3 linked regions of the Rhinolophus ferrumequinum genome follow. The protein of the gene in region 1 interacts with the protein of each later gene in a pairwise test. Links are inferred from orthologs where the notes say so. Each region holds a gene or a part of one and is shown in the gene's direction. Other genes may lie near its edges.

What was found. The genes of interacting proteins can lie anywhere in the genome.
Region 2: the proteins of IGF1R (region 1) and YWHAB interact in a two-hybrid assay, tested with the Homo sapiens proteins (2 studies listed by IntAct). The link is inferred for Rhinolophus ferrumequinum from reciprocal best matches to the Homo sapiens genes IGF1R and YWHAB.
Region 3: the proteins of IGF1R (region 1) and KCNIP3 interact in binary tests that used the Homo sapiens proteins (3 or more experiments, as listed by UniProt). The two-hybrid records come from large-scale screens. The link is inferred for Rhinolophus ferrumequinum from reciprocal best matches to the Homo sapiens genes IGF1R and KCNIP3.

Annotation. Positions count from the first base shown.
Region 1 is NC_046311.1:11,461,780-11,469,329, reverse strand, and holds the start of IGF1R (insulin-like growth factor 1 receptor), read left to right. Parts: upstream 1-4,539; 5' UTR 4,540-4,641; coding exon 4,642-4,735; intron 4,736-7,550. UniProt on the Homo sapiens protein: Receptor tyrosine kinase which mediates actions of insulin-like growth factor 1 (IGF1). Binds IGF1 with high affinity and IGF2 and insulin (INS) with a lower affinity. The activated IGF1R is involved in cell growth and survival control.
Region 2 is NC_046306.1:12,838,248-12,846,150, reverse strand, and holds the start of YWHAB (14-3-3 protein beta/alpha), read left to right. Parts: upstream 1-4,886; 5' UTR 4,887-5,104; intron 5,105-7,903. UniProt on the Homo sapiens protein: Adapter protein implicated in the regulation of a large spectrum of both general and specialized signaling pathways. Binds to a large number of partners, usually by recognition of a phosphoserine or phosphothreonine motif.
Region 3 is NW_022680356.1:1,665,181-1,672,345, forward strand, and holds the start of KCNIP3 (calsenilin), read left to right. Parts: upstream 1-4,148; 5' UTR 4,149-4,179; coding exon 4,180-4,194; intron 4,195-7,165. UniProt on the Homo sapiens protein: Calcium-dependent transcriptional repressor that binds to the DRE element of genes including PDYN and FOS. Affinity for DNA is reduced upon binding to calcium and enhanced by binding to magnesium. Seems to be involved in nociception.

The DNA of each region.
Region 1 (7,550 bases):
TGATCTGTTTTTGTCTTGAATTGTATAGATAGGATATGTGTACACATTCTTCTGAAATGTATCTTTTAAGGATGAGACCTTGATTAGCGATATCATTTTAGTAGTACTTTAATGCGTCTGAATTGCTTATACAAACAGCTTGGAATCTGGAATCATATTGGAAACTGGGATGATCTCTTTCATGGATTTCCCCTATATTTCTCTCTATCTTTTAAAATATTTTATACACACATAACACATGTGTTAGTTATAAAGCATAACCATAGAATGGAAACCTATAAATCTACCACCCGGTCTGAAATGAACATGTCTCTAAGAACACTGCCTGTATCTATGGGCTTCTCCCCACCCACTCCCAGAGGGAAACAGGATCCTGAATTTTGTGTTATTAATCCTCTTGGTAAAAGAAAACAAAACAGAAATATTTCACCATGTAGTTCATTCTCTTGCTTTAAAAAACTTGCTATGTATTTTTTTGTTGTCCCTGCTTTTAAGAGCTTTATCAAAATGGTGTCAATTGTGTAGTTTTTTTCAGAACTTGCATTTTTTTTTTTTTAACTTAACATTGTATTTCCAAGACCCGCCCGTGTTGTATGTGGCTGTAGTTTACTCACTTTTGCTGTTGAATAATATTCCTTTCTGGGAATCACAACATATTGTATTACTGCTAATACTTGTCAATTGTCAGTTGGGCTGTTTCTCATATTTTCACTTGGTATATATTACATTTGGGGCTGTCTGAAACATTTAGCAGCATCATTTGAGATATAGCTGTTTTCAAGTGCACAGTTTTTAAGAAAACGAAAATAAGCCACCAGTTTCTGCTCCAAAAGAAGGGAAATTTATGCCACCTGGGGAAAATGGCATAACAACAAACAAGTGGGATGCACTGTCAGTGTGATTATGAAGCTAAGACTCCAGTGAATGTTTTACCACGTGATTTTATTTCCAAGGTGGAAAAAATAAGTTTGACTTCAGTATGTAGAATGTAATCATTGAAGAAGATAAAAATTGCCTTTTGTGTCTATGTGATCAAGTTAAAGCTGAAAGGCAACTTATATTTTGATTCTCTTTTTTCTAAAAATGAAGGTATATAATAATAATCATCTAACTTTTCCATCTAAAATAGCTTAATCTTATTTATTTCCCACTACTTTAGGAAAACACACACATTTTAAAAATTGACAAATGAAAAATCATTTTGGTAAAAAAAAATACCCAAATCACTACAATTTAAACAACTGAGCATTTGTCCTTTATTCTGTGTACCTTATGTCTTTAGGGACAAATGAATGGGAATTATTACTAATACTAAAAATATATTGTATAGTATTTAAAGAGTTTTTATTAGCATTAGTCTTTTAAAAGTCAGCTCTCAACTTGTCTAAATTTACAAGCATGTATTTCAGAATTCTAAACACCAAATACAATGAAAATATAAAATTGATTTTCCTTTACATTTAACTGCAGAATGAATCTGTAGGCATCAAGACCAACCTCATGCAGGGAACTCTCTGAAGGAATATTTAAAAATTAGTAGACTGAATTTTAATTATTCACATGTAGTGCCTGATTTTTAAATGATACGTGCTAAACTTGTTTCTTTGTAAAGATTCTAATACATTTCTTCCTCTGTTAATGTCCATAACATCTAAAACTGGAATCTTTTATTTAAAAGTTAAGCTGAATTTCATTCAGTTAAGCAAAACAATCCCATATGAAAAACTCTTGTAAGTAAAAAAAGATTTATTTCCCTTCTATACAACTGACATACTGAATTGAGCTAAAAATTTCCAAGGAGATCAATGATCTAGGGACTAAGTATGGGGGTCTGGGAAGGCTAGGTTTCCATTATGATAGCTTTTGACTTGTTTTCAGGTCTTAATTTTAAAAATGATTTACAAACGATGGGATACAAACAATGTAACTCGGAAATCTTTTACACGTAAAGAGTAAAAAACAAAAAAAGAAAAGAAAAGAAACCTACCTTTTCTTTAGAACAGATCCCTTCCTACCAGACAGCCTGGTTGTTCATGAGACAAACACTTCTACTCGATCTAGACATTCACGACTCTTTTATTAGCCATCTTCTTTTTATTTGTTGTTAACATCAATTAGCCTGAGTCTTGAAACCCGACCACATTAAGGGCAACACGTGGCCCACTCACTATTTTTTAAAGTCCACGTATTTCAAACTCCTTTCTCCAGCCATTGCTGGGCTGTTTCCCCCTTTAAGGACCTGGTCTCCGCAGCGTTTATTCGTTAGATGGCAGTTCTCGGGCAGTCTTGTTTTGGGGAAACCTCTCCTTGGGCACATTCAAGAAAACCACAGAGGAGACTTGGGGCTGGTGCTGATTTCTAGTCACTTACATAGCGAAGGAAGCAAGAGGGAGGGGCCCGGGAGGACCCGAGGCAGGTGCGGGTGGGTTTCCGCAGTGACCACACTGATCGCGCGTATGTGCGGCGTGTTCCAGGGTCTCGACCCCAGCCAGGAGACTGTGCCCGCCACGGCCGCGGACCCCTTCCTTCAGGGGCCCCTCGGACACGCCCCCTAGCCTCGGGGGCCCCCGCGGCCCGCACGGTGCACGCGCTTTGGCCGCTCCCAGCAGCCGCCCACGTGGTGGAGCCCGGAGCAGCGCGAGGAGCTTTTGGGGCGGGCCGCGGGTCTTCGAGGCCCGGCCAGTGCGACCCAGTCTAGCGGGCCCCCAGTCCGGGCCCCCACATTTCCTCTCCGGTTCGGAGGGAGGCGACACTCCGCGGGCCAGCCCTCCCCCGCGCCTGCTACGCCCCCTGGCGGCCGCCGCGGGGACGCGCCCTGGGCACGCGGGGCAGCCTGTCTGGGCCCCCCTTTCCCGGCTCCGGGCTCGCGGCGGGCGGCTGGCCGTCTCCCCTTGCACCCCCTAGCCGAGCCCCGCGGGCCGCGCCCTTCCCCCTCAGCTCCCCGTGAGCCTCGCAACTCCGGGCTCCCCAGTCGCGACACCGCGGCCGCCCTAGCCATGCGTGAAAGTGCCCACCTTGGGAGCCTGGGAGGGATCGCCTTTCTCTCAGGTGTGCCCCTCCCGCCACGTTCGGGCTTTCCAGAGCGCTGCGAAAAAATGCCGCATGCACGCACTTATTTATTTATTTTGCAACAGCTGCAAGAAACAATGAAGCTTTTCAAGAACCGGGGAAACGCGCTTTCCAGCCGCGCTGTTGTTGTTTTCAATGAACCTCTCGGGCCCCGCACTCCCCGCCCATCCCGCTCCCTCCCCGCCTCTCCACCCCTCCTCGGCTGGCCCCACCACCCGCCCGGACCGGCGCCGGGGGCATTGTTTTTGGAGTCCTGCGGGAGGGGAGGGCGCGTGCAGGGTGGCCGGCGCAGTGCGGGTGGGGGCGAGAGCGTGTGGGCGCGCGCGCGCGTCTCCGGGCGCGCGCGGGCGGGGGGACGGGGGCGGCGGGGCGGTGCCTTGCCGCCTCGTACCCCACGCCCCGGCTCCGCTCCGCACGTCCCTGGGATCCCGGGCTCCAGCTCTTGGCGCGCGCCGGCCTGGGCCGGGCCCTGGGCGCGCCGCGGCTGCGGCGGCGGCGGCGGCGGCGGCGGCTCCGGGAGGTGCGCGCGCGCGCGTCCGTGTGCGCGGGCCCGAGCGCGCGCGCGCTAGCCCCCAGTGTGTGGCGGCGGCGGCGGCGGCGGCGGCAGCGGCGCGGCGAGGCTGAGGCTCTTGTTTACCAGCATTAACTCCGCTGAGCGGAAAAAAAAAAAAAAAAAAAAGGGGAAAAAAAACCCGAGGAGGAGCGAGCGCACCGGGCGAACTCGACAGAGGCGGGCGAGCGAGAGGGACGCCGCCAGCGAGCCTGCCTGCGGCGCGCGGTGCCCGGCGCGTGCAGACCCTCGGCCCCGCTCCCCGGGCCCTTCGCGCCCCTCCCGCCCGCGCGGGGGGCAGCTCCACGGCGCGCCGCGCGCCTCGGCTTTGACCTTCAGCGAGCCGGAGCCCCCGCGCGCGGAGCCGGCGGCGCGGCGGGCGGGGGCCGGCGCGGGGCGGGCGGCGGGAGTGCAGAGCGCGGCGCGGCCGGCCCGCCGCTTTGTGTGCGTCCTGGATTTGGGCAGGAGCTCGCGGCGGCGGCGCCAGGAGCTCGGAGGACCTGCAGGAGGGGGAGCCTCTCATTCATTTTGACTCCGCATCTCGGCCCGGCCGGCCTCGCCCGCACCCGGGACTTCGCGGCCGGCTTGCGAACTGCGTCGCGCCCTCCCGCCGCCGCGGCTCGGGGCCCGCACCGCCTCCCCCGGGGGCCGCGATCGGGTGTGCGCCGCGCGGCCCGGACGGATTTGGGCTTTGCCCCCCTCCCGTTGCAGCCCCCCCCCACCCCCCCCCGCCTGCTTCGCTGGGTTTGAAAATGGAGGCCGACGACGCCGACAGCCCGCCCCGGCGCGCCCCGGGTTCCCGACTCGGCCGAGCCCTGGGCCGCGGCTGCCGACGCTGAGGGGCCGCCCGCGCCGCCCGCCCCGTCCGCGCCGCCTCGGGAGGACTGTTTGCTTCGCCCTTGTGTTCGGAGGGGGAGCGAAGACTGACTTGGAGACTTTGGCTTTTCCTCCCCCCCCCACGCCGCCCGCCCGCCCGCCCCTTTTATTTTTGAGAAAGGGGAATTTCGTCCCAAATCAAAGGAATGAAGTCTGGCTCCGGAGGAGGGTCCCTGACCTCGCTGTGGGGGCTCCTGTGTGTCTCCGCCGCGCTCTCGCTCTGGCCGACGAGTGGAGAGAGTGAGTATGTGCCCGCCGCCCGCGGCCACTGCGGGAACTTTTCCTCCGAGGGGCTGCGCCCTGTTTGCGAAACCCGAGTGGCCCCCGTCGCAGCTGTCGGGCCCGCGGGCGCAGGAGCGGCGGGGCGGGGCGGGCCGCGCAGGGGCTCGGCCGCGGGCTCGGGGGTGGCAGGCCCGCGGGCCCCGGCTCCGCGCGGTGCCCCCGAGGGAAGGGCCTCGCGGGCTGGCGTGCTCGCTGTCCCGAGAGCCGTGCCCCGCGCGCGGGCCGCGTGTCTCCGTGGCGCTCCCTTCCTAGCCAGGCGCTGGGACTCTTTCCGGGAAGTTCGCGCCCCGTGGGGCCACGCCGCCCGCACCTCGTCCCTGTCGGGGCGCGCGGGGCTGGTCCGCACCCCGCGCTGGCGCCCGCACCGCGCGCAGACCGCGGGGACAGCTCGTGCGGCCGCGCGGAGCCCTCGCTGTGGGGCAGACGCTGCGTCTGTTGGCGGGGAGCCCAGCCGCCTGTGGGGTACAAGTTGCCCTCGATGAGGAGGTGCCGGGCGGAGCGGCCCCGCAGCCCCAGGACACGTTTCCAAACATCCCGGTGCGGCCTCCTGTCACCCAACGCGCTTTGCCCCTCCGGCTCGTTGGGTTCCTGGCCGTTCGCGTCATTTTCACCCGATCCGCCGCAGGTTCCTTGTCCCACGCTTCCCGGGGCTGCCCAGTGCGGCTCTGGGGTGCGGGAGCGAGCCCGCCTGCACCCCCATTCCTCCATGCAGCTCCTGGAAAAGTGCGAAGTCGGGGGCCCGACACCGGCCACTCTTCTGGGGGAGCGCGTCTGGACCCCAGTTCCGAGGGTTCCGGGACCTCCTCCCAGGGTCTGCCCGGCCCGTGGACGCTCTCCTCCCCCTGGCGGGACTGGGGAGGGGGTGGTCGGGCAGCATCCGAGTGTGCGGGAGTGGGTTTGTGGTCGCAGCCGACGTGCATGTACACACACGTGCTTGCCACGCGGGGGTGTCGCCGCCGCCACACGGCCGCGTGGGGACACCTAGACGCCGCGCCCTGGCCAGAGGTGCCCTGCGCCGCGGTGGACGGATGGCGGCGGCGCGTGGGGAGGGGCGCGTGTTGTTTTGCGAGCGCGCAGCGCTGGCCTGGGCTTCGTGGCCGCAGTTGTCTCGCGCTGCCCCCTCCCCCGGCCCCGCACTTCCTTTGTACATAGTTAATAAGCAGTGTCGCTGCACACTCGCTATCGCTGGCAATCTGATAGCTTTTGTTTTGGTCGTGTCGGGTAGGGGTAGGGAAGCACCGCGAGGGAGGAGGGAGGGAGAAGTGGGGGCCCCCTGGGGTGTGGGGGGAGGGCAGGAGGGGGTTCTCTGCTTCTCAAAAAATTAAAGTGTGGCTTACTGGTGCATGCGCGACGGCAGGGTAACTTGATCACGATTAAAGTTTAAATGCAGTCCCTGGACTGCGGGCTGGGGCCGGTGAGGGCGTGCTGGTGAGTAATGGTTGCGAGGCTATGCAGGTAGTGCCAATTGGGAAAATCACGACTGAGCCGTGAAGAATGAGGGGGAGAATCCGGAGGCAGCGGGGGCCGTTCGGAAAGGCCGTGTGAACAAACCCTTCTTAACCGCTTGGTAAGAGCTGAGTCCACGATGGAGTCCGAGCAGATTTTTTATAGGATTAGCGTGTTTACTGCGTGGAGTCAGACGCAGACTGAGGCCGGACCGTCCCCAAATCTGAGCTCTTCTGCTCTTTGTTTTCTAAACTTTCAGCTCCACGGATTGGGCGAAAGGCTTTCGGGCTCCCTTCTAAGCCTCACAGACAGAGTTTGGGGGGACAGAAGAGGGTTTGTAGCCTTTGAAAGCTAAATATAGTTTGGAAGACGCAGCGGTGTTAATCCATTTTTAGAGTGGCGTTGCTATTGAACTGTACTGTCTCTCGTTTTATTCTTTAATGTTAGTATGTTATGAAATTCTCAGCAACAGTGATGGCCTCCGATAGAGGAGGCCGGCATTTTAAAATAGGATGTCTTGTTTGGAGCGTTCTTCTTGAAAAATATCCTTTGTGAAAGGCGTTTCATTCTTGAGAAAACAGGAGGGTTAGGGGTATTTTAACGTACGTTTCTAATCCCATGTAGCCCACGCTTTACTCAAAGATGCCTTGGAAATTGTTGGTTCCCAGAAACCTGATGGGAGGCCAGAAGGCACCCCCAATCCTGATTATGGTCTGTTGGAGTTCTCACTCAGGACCTGCCCCTCCCTACAGCTCTGAAGTTTTGAGGATGAAACGATAGGCTTAGCGTGAACCTGCGTTGAGTTTTTATCCCAAAGGTGCTAAACACTTACCTCTGAGAGAAGTAACGGCCACATCTTATCAGAGCCTGACATTCTTTTGGCTGGCTAGTCCAGTAACCAGGATTGGGGTGGTGGTTGTTCCCCATATTTAGGGATTCGTGTTTCCTCTCCGAGTGTGACCGCAGTAGGGTGATTTTTAAAACTCTTTAACTTAGAAAAGTTAGAAGTTTCGAAGCAGATGAAGTCATACAGACATGGCTGTTTCGTATCAGTACAACATGAACAGAGCGTCTAAATAAGGGAGTTTGGAAGTTATAGCCAAATAATCTGTTGGCTTTTTTTTAATCAATGGGCACTTCACACATGTTGTGGCCATCTCATTAAAAGGATCCAGTCATCTTTCTGCCCCAGGCACGTGTTTGTCCTTATTGTCAGAAAAATGGATGTGTGGAAGATCGGTCTTGAAAGGAGTTGATGTTTTTTATTCCCCGAAAAAAGAACCCAGAATAAGAAGTTTGGAAACAACCTAAGCAGCAAATTATTGTG
Region 2 (7,903 bases), on another chromosome or scaffold:
ATACTCTCCTTGCTTTTTCCACCTGTGTCCAGAGATACAGCTGAAGCCAACCCATGACAAACATGTAAGAAATAAACCTTTGTTGTTGTAAGTCGCTGAGATTTTAAGAATGTTTGTTATCACAGCATAATCTAATGCTCCCTCCTATGTAATTGATACTTGGTTACTTTCTCGGGAGGAGAAACGGACTTGGTGCGGTGGTGATCACAGGGGACTTTAGTTTTTATCTTTAATAGTTTAGTTTTCTTACAATTAAAATATATTCATGCATCACCATGTAATGAAAATGCATTATTTAAAATGAATACAGCAGGCGTTTTCTTACTTAAATGCTAAAAAATATCATTCTTAAAATACACACACACAAACACCCAATAAATTCATGGTTCTTTTTGCCCAGCTGGCACTCTGAAGAAAGAGACTGGAGGTGAATAGCTGTGTGCACTTTCCAAAGCTAGAGGAAGTACTGGAGCATGACAACGCTTTGCCACTTTCTCTACAGGCAGAAATCTGCAAAGCCTAGACACACTGTGAAACTTATTTCTGGTTCAGCTATCATGAAACAGAAATACAGATTCATCTTTTGTTTTTACATTAATGATATCTACCTTTCAAATGACCTCATTTATATGAAAACAAAGGTGATTATGTAGCCAAAATTCAATTCAGTGAGTTTGGAGAATGCTGGTCTCCTTGACACAGCTTACCCTTGTCTGGCAAAGTTAGTGAGAACTATGGGAGCTCTTTTTCTGATACACCGATAGACCTTTCTGAGTCAGGATTTCAGCCTTTGTCCCATTAAAACGAAAAGCCAAAATTGGTGGGATGGATATCAAAAACCTCACGCAAGTTGACATGTCATAGGCTACCCTTCAATTTCAACTTCTTATTCAATCCAAACAGCAGCCCTCTTGTCTTTGAACTTTACTTTACTGAGCCAAAGGTCAGTGGCCAGATTCCCCGGTCCAGTGCCCAGTCCCCAGCTTTGTGTGATCAGGAAGTTATGATGCTGCAACAGGAGTAGCAGTAGTAACTCTGACCTCTCAATCACAGCTATGGTGACTTTGAAACAAAGTCCCACCTGATTTAGGCAATTCTAGCTCTTCTAATGAGTCTGCAAGCACCTAATTCCCTTTATTAAATCCTGTTCTGCTTAAAATACCTAGAGTGGTTTCTGCTTCTGTCTCCTGCACAGAACTCTGACTAAATACAAGTTGGATGATAACGTTCAGAAAGTAAACCCAAACACAAAAAGATAAAATAATAAGAGAGAGGAAGGAAAAAACAGTATAATTCGAAAATCATTCCAAGAGCTCAGATATCTGAATAATTGGGGTTCCAGAAAGCGAAGACAAAGAAAATAGAGAGGTGGAGGAAGGAAATCTTCATGGAAATAAGCCACAAAAATATCCCAGAACTGAAAGAAATAGGTTTTCAGATTAAAAGAGCCTGTTAGTGACAATTAGATATTATATGCCTCCTGGTATGAAGCAATAGGAAACATAGTCCCACCTGTAAAATTTTCTTGCCGAAAATTGAGCCAAAATCCAATCAAGTCTTTAGATATAACTGCCAGTTTATAGGACATTCAAGGGATAGGGTCACATTTTTAAAACTCTGCAAGAAACCAAATAGCCAAATTCAGACTGTGATAAGATAATTTACCCAGTTTCTTCAACAAATCAATCATATAAAGAAAAAAGGAGGAAGCGTTAACTGTGATGGATTAAAAGACACTTAAGAGATTTAGCAACTAAATGCAATGTGTAGAGCTTATTAGGATCCTGATTTAAATAAACCAATGTAAAAAGTAATTTTTAAGACAATTAGGGAAAATCAAACCTGGACCATGTATTATAAGAGAATAAGGAATTGTTAATTTCCTTAAGTGTGATCATGGAACTGTGGTTATTTTTTTTAAAAAAATTCTTACCTGTTAGAGCTACATATGGAACTAAGGTATTTACAATTCAATGATATAATGGTATTTACATTGAATGGTATTTACAAATTCAATGATATAATGTCTGGGATTTGCTGTGAAATACTCCTAAAAAAAAGGCAAAAGATAAATAGTAAAATAAAGCTGGGTGATGGGTACATGGAGTTCATTGTACTATTCTCTCTAATTTTGAGTTTGTTTGAAAATGGTCATAATAAAAAGCAAAAGAGAGGAAGAAAGAAGGGAAGAAGAAAGAAAGAAAGAGAGAGAGAGAGAGAAAGAAAGAAGGAGGAAGGGAAGGGAAGGGAGAGGAGGAAGGAGGGAGGGAGGAAGGGGAGAAAGAAGGACAAACTGTGGGACATTCATACAATGCCATAATATTCGGTGACAAAAAAAAACGAGCTCTTAAACAATACAGATATGGAGGAATCGTAAATCATATTGCTTTAACTCAGTCAAGGCTACATACTGTATGATTCCAACCATACAACATCTGGAAAAGGCAAAACAAAGACAGTGTAAATGAAAAGTCACTGCCAAGGGTTCGGGTGAGAGGGTGAGGTCTGAATAGTTGAAGCACACAAGATTTTTCGCACAGTGACTCTGTTCTATATGATACTGTAATGGTAGGTGCCTGACATGGTGCATTTGTCAAAATCCATAGACTAGAATGAACCCTACTGTAAACTATGGACTTTAATAATAATGTATTAATATTGGTTCATCCATTGTAACTCATGTACACTAATGTAAGGTGTTAATGGCAGGGGAGTCTGTGGGTGGGGACAGGTTGAGTCTATGGGAACTCTGTGCCATCGGATTAATTCTTCTGTAACCCTAAAACTGCTCTAAAAAAATAGTCTACTAAATTAACAAAAAATTCATTATGGAATCCAAAGCTCAACTATCACCTCTTTCAGGAAGTCCTGCCTGCTCCCCCACCACATTCCCAGGATGAGTTAGGTGCCCTTCTCCGGCTCCCATAATACCCTGGGCATATATATTCCTATGGCTGCATCTGCCACATTTGTATGTTAGTATCTCTTTGTGTCTCTGTCGGTTAATAGCTGTGGTTTGTTGACCAATGGCCTAGAATGCAGAAATGGTGAAAGCAGCTTATCCATGCAACCCGTTAGCAGGCACCCAGGGACGCCTGGCAAAGGGCACTTCTGTTCCCTCAGTACACTGCTGATGTCATCTGTGGTGTAACCATCATGAGCCCTGTGACCCACTAGGCTATTTTCTGGATGGGGGCATAAGGCACAGTCATGTTTCATGAAGGCTTATTTCAACCCGAGCAGTCTCTGGATTACTGACCTTTGGTTTGCCAAAGATAGATCCCCATGGGGAAGTTTTTGCACTGGGAAACTTTTCTGGGGTTCAAACCATCCTGTGGTTTTGATGTCACATTCGTGCTGTTTACATTACACAATGTTCAAGCTTGCTCAAGTTAAAAGGTGGTATAGCACAGGAGTGACAGGCACAAACACCTATATGACAGACAAGAAGAATGAGGAAAGCAGACTTGGTCAGGAGGGGACCCTGGCACTTTGAAAAGTCCATGTCTGACCTAGAGTAGGCAGCCACACTCCTTGCCTTCAGCAAACTGTTCCCACACACAAATGTTGCTAGACAAGGCAGAGATGCACATTTTTGTTCACACAAAAATCTCTGTCTTTAAAAACTTGGCAACTAACACACAAATGATTTAGAAATACTGGACGTTATCTTGGGAGGAGAAGGAATCATCCAATTGAATTGGGGTTTTATGATGGGGGAGAAAGAGCAGGAAAAGGGTACAGGGTAAGGGCAATCTCTGGAGAACCTTGATTGTCGCACTCAAGGGGCCTACCAATTGTCTTCTAGGTCTGTCTGACTAATCACCAAAGGATTTAAGCAAGAAAGGAACAGGATTAGAATGGCATTTTAAAAAGATCACTTTGGCAGTTGATGGAGGCAGGGCTCAGAGTAAGGTGATGAGCTAGAAGTCTATCATTAAGGTGAGTCAGGGTAAAGAAGAGGTGACAAAGGCGTCTTCACTTTGTTTTTTCTCCTACCAGATTGTAAATTCCAAGACAGCAGGGCCCCGCCTGTGGTGTTCTTGCTGTGTCTCCAACAATCAGCACACAGCCTGCTCAATAAATATTTATTGAAAGAATGAATGAAAGGGAGGGCGAGCAGGTGAGAGGCATTTTGAAGAACTGTGTTTAAGAGTCAACTGCCTTGGAAGAAACAGATCAATGTTGATAACGGTGAGTGCAGTCATGCGAGTGGGGGCTGTGGGGGCCTGTTTCCTTTCCTTAAATTTCCTCTAGGAGCTCGAAAGGGGGGTGTTCAATTACGAGATTATCAACACAGGCTTAAAAAAAGGGAAAAAGACCTTCGATCCTCATGGCCTCTTCAGTCCAAAAAAGAGGAAATGATTAGTACCTTGAAGGACTGAAGACAGGATTAAGCAAAAATTTAGGAATGAGCAATTTCTGTCCATCCCTAGATCCAGTATTTCCAAAGGACAGCGCAAAAGGGGACTGACCTCAACCTCTAACCCCATGGCGATTACTTCTAGGGTGGGGTGGGAACCGATGACCTCGGAATCTTTGGGCCTGGCCCTCTCGAGGTTTAGCCTAAACAGAGTGGGCCTCAGGCCCGCCCCACCCCAAACCTCGCCCAGTCTTCCTCGTTCCAGCACATCCCAGTTCTTGACCCTCCCCCCACCCGCCCCCTCTCCTCCTACCTCCTCTTTCCGCTCCCCCGCCCCCATTTCCGTCCCCCACCGCCCGCCTCCTCCTTGCTCGGGGCCCCGGCCCTCCGCCCTCCGGCGGCAGCCGCATCCAGGTCCCCTGCTCCGCTTCCTCCACCCTCTGTCAGCGCCCCTCTCACGCGGCCGGGGCAACCCCGTGCCCCGCTCGCCCAATGAGGAGAAGGCGCAGGGGCGGGGCGGAGCTCGGGACGGAGCGGAAGTGGTGACCGGAGCGGAAGTGGAGCTGCCGCCACCGCCGCCGCCGATTCCGGAGCCGGGGTGCCTGCTGCCGCCGCCACTGCAGCTGCCGCCGCCGCTGCCGCCGCTACCGCTGCCGCTTGAGGAGTGGGCCTGGGAAGAAAGCGGTCACCGCGCTCGGAGCTCCTCTCGCAAGCGTCTTTGCCCCCTGCAGCCCTCCCACGGTGAGTGCGGCGCGGGGTCCGCCCGTGGCCCCCGGGGGCTCAAGGCCAAAGCTCCCCCCCTCCCCGGCGGCGGCGACGACCACCAGGGCGACCCCGCGGGTGGGCTTCTAGGGTCGCGCGCACGGCCTTCTAGGCCCCGCGCGGCCGCCTGCGGCGCGGGCCTGGTCTCGCCGCGGCCCCTCCCTATTTCCGGGGCCGGGCCCTTCGCTCTCGGAGAGGCCCGGGCCGCCCTCGCCGCCTGCGGCCCTGCCCGGCGGGCGGGGTGCGGCTCCGTACCGGGCGGGAATGGGCTTCCAGCCGCGGACCTCAGGCCCTCCCTCACTGCCCAGTTTCGATCCCCGCGCGACCCCTCCCTGCTCCTCGGGCGCGGAGATCCGACCTTTTCAGCCCTGTCACCCCTGCTTATTACTTTCTGGCTTCCAGCAATTAAAATTGAACCAAAGGCCGACGAGTTCTCGAGGCCCACTGCTCCTGCTTCACTCTCCCTGGATGGGTAAGGGGTTTAACCTTGGGAGAGAGCAGAAAGCAAACCCCCTCCCACTTTGCAGTAAAGCCATTTATTTCATCATCGTTCGCTGGTTTTTGAGCCTGGCAGAATCCGAGGTTCCCTGGGAAGTCTAGGGTTGAGGTTTGAATCAAGAAAATGCATTTGTTGGAACCGGTTACTGAGTCAGGCCGGATCCCCAGGAGAAAAAATGTAAAAGGCTGAGTACCGAGTATCTTCCCACGGTATCTACCGTCATTAATGCCAGAGTCTTTTGTGTCCTCGCCCCAAATTCCCTCATGCTGTGTGTTAGTATGTTTTTAGGACTGAAATTTGCCCTGATGGCCTCTCTGGTGGTGGGGAAGAGTAGGAGTGATTTGGACCCCTTTTCTACCTAAGATGAGTACATCTTCGTCTATTGCAAATGGAGAACTCCGATGCAATGGGGTTTTCAAAGGTGGCAGTATTGGTAAGACAATTTGCCAACCTTTCTGTAAAAATCCATGTCTCTTGTCCTTGCTGTCACTGCTTTTCACTTTGGTAAGGCTAGATAGCAAGCATCAGGCTCTGGTTTGACTTGCTATGTGTGGGAGATGGAATTTGGAAAGATGATGTTATGAACACAGCAAATTAGGTGGCAGCAAGAGCCTGAACAGAAAGACGAAGCATTTGTGAGAATATAAAAATTGTCTGCATTTCTCATTGTCTTCAGTTGTTCATATGAAACCACACACATGCAGTTTATAGAACAGGACACATGGTCACGCAGCTTTTTGCATTTTCCCGTTAGAAATGTAAAAGTGTTATTTAGTTTGTAGTGATTTTTCTCCTTGAACACTTTCAGTGAACCCCATTTCTTATTTAGGAATTGTGTCTCACTTGCCTGAACCCTCATTTTTCTTGGCTCTATGTCCTTAGCAGCACACAAGATGGTGAGAGTAAAATCTGTCTGTTTCACTGGACTCAAATTAGAATTTTATGGGTAGTCTTCAAAATAGAAGGCTAATAATCCAGTAGCAAATGCTGAATTATTTTCCTGGCCCCTACTTTCCATGAGATAAGAAACCATTCACCCATCTTACAGATGGAGTCTTTGTGGGAAGTGAGGTGATTTGGCCTAGACCACACACACCTGGTTTTCAGACTGAATGTCTTCATTCATCAGTAGTAAATATTTATGGACTGTCAGTCCCTGGAGTATGGTATGGCTCCTACCCTATAATCTTCTGTGTGTTTCCCATGATGCAGTGCTTGTGTTATGTTGAAGCCATTTTAGAATTGGATCTCTTGATCAGGGAGGCAACCTCCAGAAAACCAGGCTGAGCAAATTCCCATGATGCTAGTTCCCAAGGCAGAATCTCCAGATTTTTGGGCCACTGCAAAAAGTGCGTTTTGCCCATTTGGCTGTGGATATACAAGCAGAAAGAGCACTAGACTTGGAGTCAGATCAATTTGATTCAGGTCTTGCCTGCAGCATTTTCTAGCTGTGTGATTTTGAGCATGCTGCCTAATCTCTGGTTCTTCTTTCTCTATCTATATTGTATGAAGCCTTTTTACAAACTGGAAATTGTTAAATATAAGCTTTTGATTTTGTTTTTTAATCACAGAGTTTACCATTAATGGCTTTGTTTTTTCCTCCAGTTGCATTCTGATGAGACCCAACTCCTCTGTGTACGCATGTTGCTTTTTTAAAAAATGACAGAGTATTATTATAGAACCGTATTTTGTGTATAGCATCTCTAGTCTTTCTGAGCCCATTTTCTCATGCAAATGGTAATGGCCTTTAATGAATTCTTGTGGGAAACTCAGTAATCAAATAAGGATATGGGCTGTGTACTAGGTGTTGTGTAAAGGTTATTTGACCATATAAATGGGTGTACATATACATGTATAGATAAGATATATGCATATATGCTATATAGTATGAACACATATAGAGTCTATCCATTTGTGATTTATTCGCCAACTGAGGAGGTTGCATCAAGCAATTAGTTTATAATACTAATAGCTACCACTTATGTTGCTCACTATGTGCCAAGCTGTGTTCTAAATACTTTACACATATTAATAACCCTTCATAACAAGCAATGATAGGTATGTACTGTTAGCCCCATTTTACAGATGAATAAACCAAAGCACAGAGAAGTTAAATAATTTTCTTAGGGATATACACACAGCAACGGTAAGTGCTGGAATCAGGAATCAAAAGCAGGCAGTCTGGCTCTAAAGATAGATTTCTACTCGTAGTAAAACAACATGTGTATATCTTTTGTGTGAAGATTTCATTTCATCCTTAATTTTTCTTTACATGTGTC
Region 3 (7,165 bases), on another chromosome or scaffold:
CTGAGGTCTCAGGTGACTGACCAGGGCAGTTCCGGCTGGCTCAGGTGTGCAAAGGGAGGGCCACATGGCTGCGAGTCTGCTCAGGCTACCTGAGGGGACAGAGCTAACATTTATGGAACTATGAGTATAAACCAGAAAGTGCTAAGCAATTCACATAAATCCACTAAGAGGCTGGCACTGCTATTTACCTATTTACAGCTGAGAAAACTCAGGCACCGAAACGATGGCAGGCTGAGTAGACACTTCCCCGAGGCATCATGGGATAATTGGGGCATTTCAGGCAACATGGAATTCTCCAGGTCAGCCTGAGGTCCTGCTCTGGTGGTCACGGAGAGGCCCTCCCTATATTCCACTCCCAGAGCCCTGTCTCCAGGCCCAAGTGCCCGGGGCCAGCCCAGTACACACACCCTGCTGCTGGAATGAAGCCCCTTCCCCTTGGTCCCCAATCTCCTAACAGTGCCTGGACGTGACCCTCTGGGAGCACTTAGCTTTCATCCATCGTACAGACGTGGACTGAGCACCGGGCAGCAGAAGGCTGGTGTGTGCGGAGACACGACCGCATCCAGCCCTGACCTCTACCACGAGCTGCAGAATTTAGAGGCCGGGACCCCCACCACACTGAGGGGACCCAGGAGTCATGTGTTGAGGTTAGAGCAGGGGATTTAGAGGAGGTGAGCTGAGCCTAAAGAGAGGGACGGGTGTCCTCTCTTCATTTCAAGCCAGAGGGAAGGAGGCTTTAAAGAGCCCCCAGAGAGCTTCACAGCGTGCATCCCTGAGGTGGGAGAAAGCCACTGGACTGAGGGCTCCCCCCATCTACAAAGTCTGCAGGGCGAGACGGGCTGGCTGCTTTGTGGCCCAGAGGAGGGCCTCAGGTGAGGGGCAGTCAGAGGGGCCCTCAGGCCCAGCCGGGGAGGCTGCCTGGAGGGCCAACAGACCTCCACGAGAGGGTGGAGCTGCCTGGGCTGTCAGGCTCCTGGCTCCCTTGAAGCCCATGTGAGAAACCCTAGCTGGGGGTTGGGGAGTGCCCAGCAATGGCCAGGCCCTGAGGACCCGTGGGGGTGCCCACAGGATGGAGGAACAGCTTTAAACCTCTGCCAACCCAGTGCACAGTTCCAGGGGCTGAAGGCCAGCTACACAGTAGCCCCTGTGACTGCAGGCCCCTGCCCCACCTGAGGTGGCCAGGACCTGGGCCCAGACTGTGCTGTGAAGTGGCAGAACCATGGGTCTTTCTCCCAGGCAGCATTGCGGGTCTGCCAGGTTTCCACCCAGCCACGGGAGGGAGGGTGGGCAGCGGGAGAGATTTTGAGGGCCAGTAGAAGACCCAGATAAGGCTGCATCTGGTGGCTTTGCAGTTCCGCAGCTGTGCTTTCTCACGGTGACACCGAGGGCTGCAGCATCAAGGGAGGGGTGATCTTCAGCAACAGACATTTCTTGAGGTCCACATGCAGGGTGAGACCACCCTCCACCCAAAAGGGCTTTCCTCATAGGCAGGGGCTCTTGGTGGGCCGGGACCCAAACCCTGAGAGTACTGAGCACCTCTCTCTCTCTCTCTCTCTCTCTTTCTCCCCCTCTATCTTTCTCTTTTTTCTTCCCTCTCTTCCTCCCTCTCTCCTTCCCTCCCTCCTTTCCTCTCTCTCTCTCTATCTCTTTCTCTCTCTCTCTCTTTCCCTTGACCAGGGATAGGCAAAGCCATGGCCCAGGAGGAAGGTACAGGATGGTCCATGGAGCCAGGCTTGGGGTTCCCAAGGAGGAGGTTTGGCCATGGGCCTGGATGGAGGGGATTGCAATAGGCAGCAATGGAGGAAGTCCAAAGAGACCCCAGGACCTGTGGGCAGGGGTGCTGTGAGCCCCTCGCCAAGGTGGGGTGGGCTAGCTGAGATGGCTCCCACTCAAAGGCGGCATACTCAAACGTAACATAGGGCATCTCAGCCCGGCCCCAGGCTTGAATTGACCCCTTCCTTTTCCCATCTGACGTCCCCCATTCTCATCCCCACCCCGGTGTGAGGAGACCACAGCTGAAACCCATCTGGCAGTGTCCAGGCGAGTCCTCCGGCAGCCTTCCTTCCTTTACCTACTTTGGGTCTGACATACTGCCAGGGACTCTTTGGAAAGTCCCAGACCCTCTGGGGGAAAGCCTGCCCGTCCCACGTGCCCACAGCCCAGTTGGGCACTCTCAGGGGTGGCCTCCAGCTCCATTCCCACCTGCCCTGGGGAGGAAGGGGGTTGGGGGTGGGCAAGGGTCACAGCAGGGCACACGTGCCTCAAATTTGTGTTTTATGAGGGGCACTCCTTGGCAGCTGCAGTGGGAGGTTCTCAAGGCCCAAGGGCACGAGGGCCTGGGGGGACGCAGTTGTCCTGGGCCTGGCCTGTCACAGCTCAAGGCTCTTGAACTGGAAGGAAGCGTCTCTGGGTCATGGAAGTTCAGTGGGTGTGCCAAGTGGCGGGTGGGCGCCTGCAGAGCACAGCGCTGGTCTGAGGGTGGGACAGCGGGAGGCCAGGCCCATGGCCTGGTGGTAAGTTCCCAAGCTGGTGTGTGGAGCCTGGGAGGTGGGGCAAGATCTCAGCCATGCGAGCTTTGGAATGAAAGAAACCGGCTTTGTCACTTTCTAGCCTATGACCCTGGGCGCGTCCTTTAACTTGCTTTGGTGTCACTTTCATCACCGCACAGAGACAATTTCCTCCCAAGGCAGTGCACTGTGAAAACTCAAGTGCTCAGTGAGTCCCTTGTGGGAGCGTGCTCAGAGCCAAAGGCCAGCGCGTGGATGGCCTCTGACGACAGCTGCAGCAGGGGCTTCCCGCACCTCCTCCCAGGGCCCAGACAGCGGGGTGGCCTCCCGCTTCAGTGGGTCAATGGCTCCAGGCCACTCTCCTCCCCTGTGGATCTGAGAGTTAGAGCTCACTGGCTGGCTAAAAAAAAAAAGAAGGGCGTGCCAGCGCCTGGTGCCCGCTGCAGAGGAGGGTGTCGCAGGCTCTGTTTCCATGGGAACCACTGGAACAGGCTGTCACTGGGTGCAGAAAAGGGAAACTTGGCAGAGGTTTTGGGCACCTGGCTCCTGGGTGGTTTCCCTGGGGTCTGAGCGAATTCCCAGGAGTCTGCCCCCCTCCCAAGGAAACTCAGGGGCCCTCACCCTTTTCCTCCACCCGCTAAGAGACATGGCGAGGTCCCTCTGCCACCCCCATGGGGTCCCAAACTGGGACATAGGCAAGGACAGATGACAGGCTACCTGGGAGGGCCCCCACATCGTGAGACCCCATGTCGGGTAAAAAGGAGGTAATTAAGGGGGGAGACAGGTCAAAGATGGAAGGGCCCCTATGTGTGACCCATGTGCTGTGGCCCTGGTAGCTGTCACCATCTCTGCATGGGTGAACCCCTGTTTGTGAGGCCATTGAGGACCAGAATGATGTCCCCACAGGGAGGATGCCTTGGAAGCCAGGAGCAGCTGAGGTGGCACCAGGGTCTTGACTGCAGGCCCCTCCTCAGGGTGTCCGTGAAAAGGGCCCGCAGGACTGGCCAGGGGGCAGCAGGGAGAGGAAGGCTGCCCCTTCCTGTCCCCAACCCCTATTGGGGCAGAAACTCACATCAGAGCTCCCTTCCCCCAAGCCCCGGTTTTCTGGACACCCCCCCCATGCACCCTCCCCTCCCCATAACCAAGGGGTGGGGGGAGGGGGTGTGTGTGTTAGAAAAAGAGACAGAGCGGAGGTGGCACAGGGAGAGACACTCGTGACAGGCAGAGAGGACGCCCAGAGAGCCAAACAGGTGGGACTTCAGTACTTCTTTGACAGGCTGAGAGGGCAGGATTAGGAACCAATAATACAGAGAGTGGGACAGTGGCTGGGAGAGGGAGAGAGAGAAGGGGAAAGAGAGGGAGAGAGAGAGAGACAGAGAGAGAGGGGGAGAGAAGAAGGAGAGAGAGAAAAAGAGAGGGAGGGAGGGAGGGAGAGACAGACAGAGACAGAGAGGGAGAGAGAGGAGAGGAGAAGAGAGGACAGCAGGAGGGAGGGGAGGCAGAGCAGAAGGGGTGGAGCAGGTAGAGACAGGCAGGGGGGCGGGTGGGCAGGGGGCGGGCGAGGAGCCTCCAGTCCAAGCAAACATGAGGCAGCTGCCAGCTCTGCCCGACAGTCCTGATCTCTTTGGCGGCGAGGAGGGGAGCCTGGCAACAGTTTCCTTCAGCGCCCAGGATGCTTCGGGCCAAGGTAGGCGCCAACAGGGCAGGAGGCTCGAGGGGTGGGGGCTGGGGCTTCTGGGGTTGCCCTGGACCAGGGAGCCTTGTGCCCATTCCTTGCTGTCCCCTATAGGGTCGCTTTGAGGAAAGTAAGTATTGGGGTATCCTGGCTGAGAGGCTAGGCTCCTGGGGCCCCCTTTGGATGGGAGAGGCTTTAGGGATTTGTAGGATAGAAGCTGGACAGGGGAGGGGCTTGGGTCAACCACACAGCTGGTCCTGCTCAGTTAGGTCTCTGGGGGCAGCTGCCCTGAGCCGGGCCCTAGGGCTTCAGAGCCAGGGGCAGGCTGTGTGCTGGGAGGGGGTGTCTTATGCTCCACGAATACACCTCTTAATTATTCAAGTAATTAATGAATGCCTACTTCCTAAAGGGCCCTGAGACGTAACAAGTACACTAATAGTTCCCACTCTGGGGGTTGTTGGGAGGTTGGAGAGAGAATCAAGGGAAATGCCTGGGGTACAGTTCAAGAAACAGTGGTGGGGTGTTGGAAGGAGGAAGAGTAATTAAATGAAGAAGAATGAAGGAATGAAACATAAGCTGACCCCCAGAATTCGGCTGACACTCAGAAAATGGGTCCTGAGGGTATGCAGCTCCTCTCATGTTTGGGACAGTCTTGCTCTGTAAGGAAGAAGCACGGACACTAGGTCTTGCTGCTCGCAGCAGAACACCCCAAGTAACAGCAGTCTGAACAAGGCTGGTTGCCTTTTCTGCTTTCTCTGTCGTGTAGAAGTCCAGAGGGAGGCAATAGAAGGCTGGCACGGAGGCCCCGGGGTCAGCAGGGCCCCGGGCTCCATCTGTGTCCCTGCTTGCATTCTTGAGTTTACCTTAAGGTCCAACATGGCTGCAGGAGCTCCAGCTAGCATACGTAGGCAGCAGGAAGGAGAAAGAAGGAAGGGCAAAACGATCCAAATACAACCAGGGTCTTGTGAGTAAAGAATGGATGCCGAGCTGGCGTCTCATGGTCTTCGCACATCCCCACACCCCCCTATCCCCAAGAGATGGATTCCTGTGTTTCTTTCACCCGTGAGGACAAGCAGCCAACAGTGGGCTTGTGGCTGCCTTCAGGCCACACTGCCCAGGGCCCAGGTGCCCCATCTCCCAGAGGTGCCCAGAAGTGGTGACATGAAACTCTTTGAGCGTGGCAATGGGTACGTTGAAAAGGTGCTTTCGCTACTGTCACCTCAAGTTTCCCCAGGCAGGGGACAGCCCCCTTCTCTTGCATTTTCTCTGCTGGCCCAAACTGCCCAGAGCTCACCCTGGGAGATTGGCCACCCCTGCCCCTGCTAGATGGGTAGAGCGAGTGGCTAGAGTCCTGTGGGTACACCTGGCTTTCCCTTGGCCACTGTGGTCCCTCAGTGCCGTCCGCAGACCCGCACAACAGGCTCTCTGGGCCTTACACCTGCCACTGGACTTCCTGTGGCTGGCCTGGGCAGAGACTGGAGCGGGTCCCATACCTGCTGGCACTGGGCCAAGCAGGGACAGTGGTCCTTGGGGAAGCAGCCCCTGGGTGGCTCAGCAAGGTCAGCCAGGGCACTGGCTGTGAAAAATCACCTTCCTTGCTAATGAAGCAGGGGCTGCAAGTGAGGGCACAGGCTGGGCTTTGGCTGGACTCAGCTGCCCTCAGCTTCCTGTCATTGTCACAGTCAGCAGCTGCACCCTGGGTTTCCAGTCCTCGGCCTCCTGCATGCACCCCCAGTCATTCGGGGGTCCTCACAGCAGCCCAGGAGGGCATGCACAGCCACTGCCCTCTGCAGATACCACAGCTCAGAGGAGGGAGTGGCCCACCTAGCACAGCACCGGCCTTGAACTTCATGAGTGGAGTGAGCGTTACCGCGGGCTCTGCTGGAGTGGGCACGCCTGCCGTCCTGGGCTCCAGAGAGAGACGTCCTCATGGCCCAGCACGTGTGCCACGAATCTCTTCCTGCCTGGCTGCCAGCCTTCCTGTGGGAAACTTGCGGGAGGTGGGTCCTAATTGTCTCCCCAATTTCCAAATCAAAGCCCCGGGTTGCAGTGGGACAAAACCGTCCTCCAGGTGGAGTCTGGGAGAAGGTCATGGCTGGTCTTGTACCTGCATCGTCTCCCTGGACCCACGTACCACCCCCAAAATAGCTGTTGGCATTGTACCCACTTCACAGACCAGGAGCCTGAGGCCTGCCCTAGATGACAATCTACACAGTGTTGTAGCTGGGATGTGGACCCGGCTCTGTCTTACAGCAAAGCTCACTTCCCCAGGGCCGGAGGGGTGGTTCCTGGGATAAGACTACAGTGGGGAGGAGTGTCTGGGGCCAGGCAGCTGAGGAGCGGCCCCTTCCCAGCTGGGGGGCTGGCTCCAGGTGCTTGTGGCCCTCGCACCCTCTGAACCTGTAGTGAGTGCACACAAGCCAGACCCCACCCTGCCATGTCCCCTGGGTCATCCATGCCACCTTGAGCCCCTTTCTGGGCTGCGGGTCCAGAGCTGTAAAGGAAAGGACCCCAGGATTTTTGAATTCAGGATCCCTTTTCTTATCAAACCTTCCGCAAGAGGTGGGGGCTGCTTTGCCGACTCCATCTGGCTTGGGACCATCTACTGTTCCTGCCCCACCCCAAGGCACCCCTGGTGAGGCCCAGGACAGCTGCAGAGCCCTGAATGCAGTCTCTGTTGGGGACAAGGGCAGCCTTGGTTTCCTAGGCGAGGAAGGAGAGAGAACAGGGCTTGGCAGATATTCTGCGCTGGTCCCAGACCCAGGGCAGGAAGGAGGGTGTAGTGTGAGTCACTGTGCTGTCCCTGCCCCCGCCAGCTCCTCATCCCCAGCTGACTGATGTTCCCATCAACAGGTATATCTGTCAGCTGTGATCAGCCCACATCCTAGAACCACAGAGCAGCCATATGACAGGGACAGAACCCAGGGGCCCTGCAGACGCCAGAGTGGGGGGTGGTGCTGAGCTGAGCTGAGCTGAGCTGAGC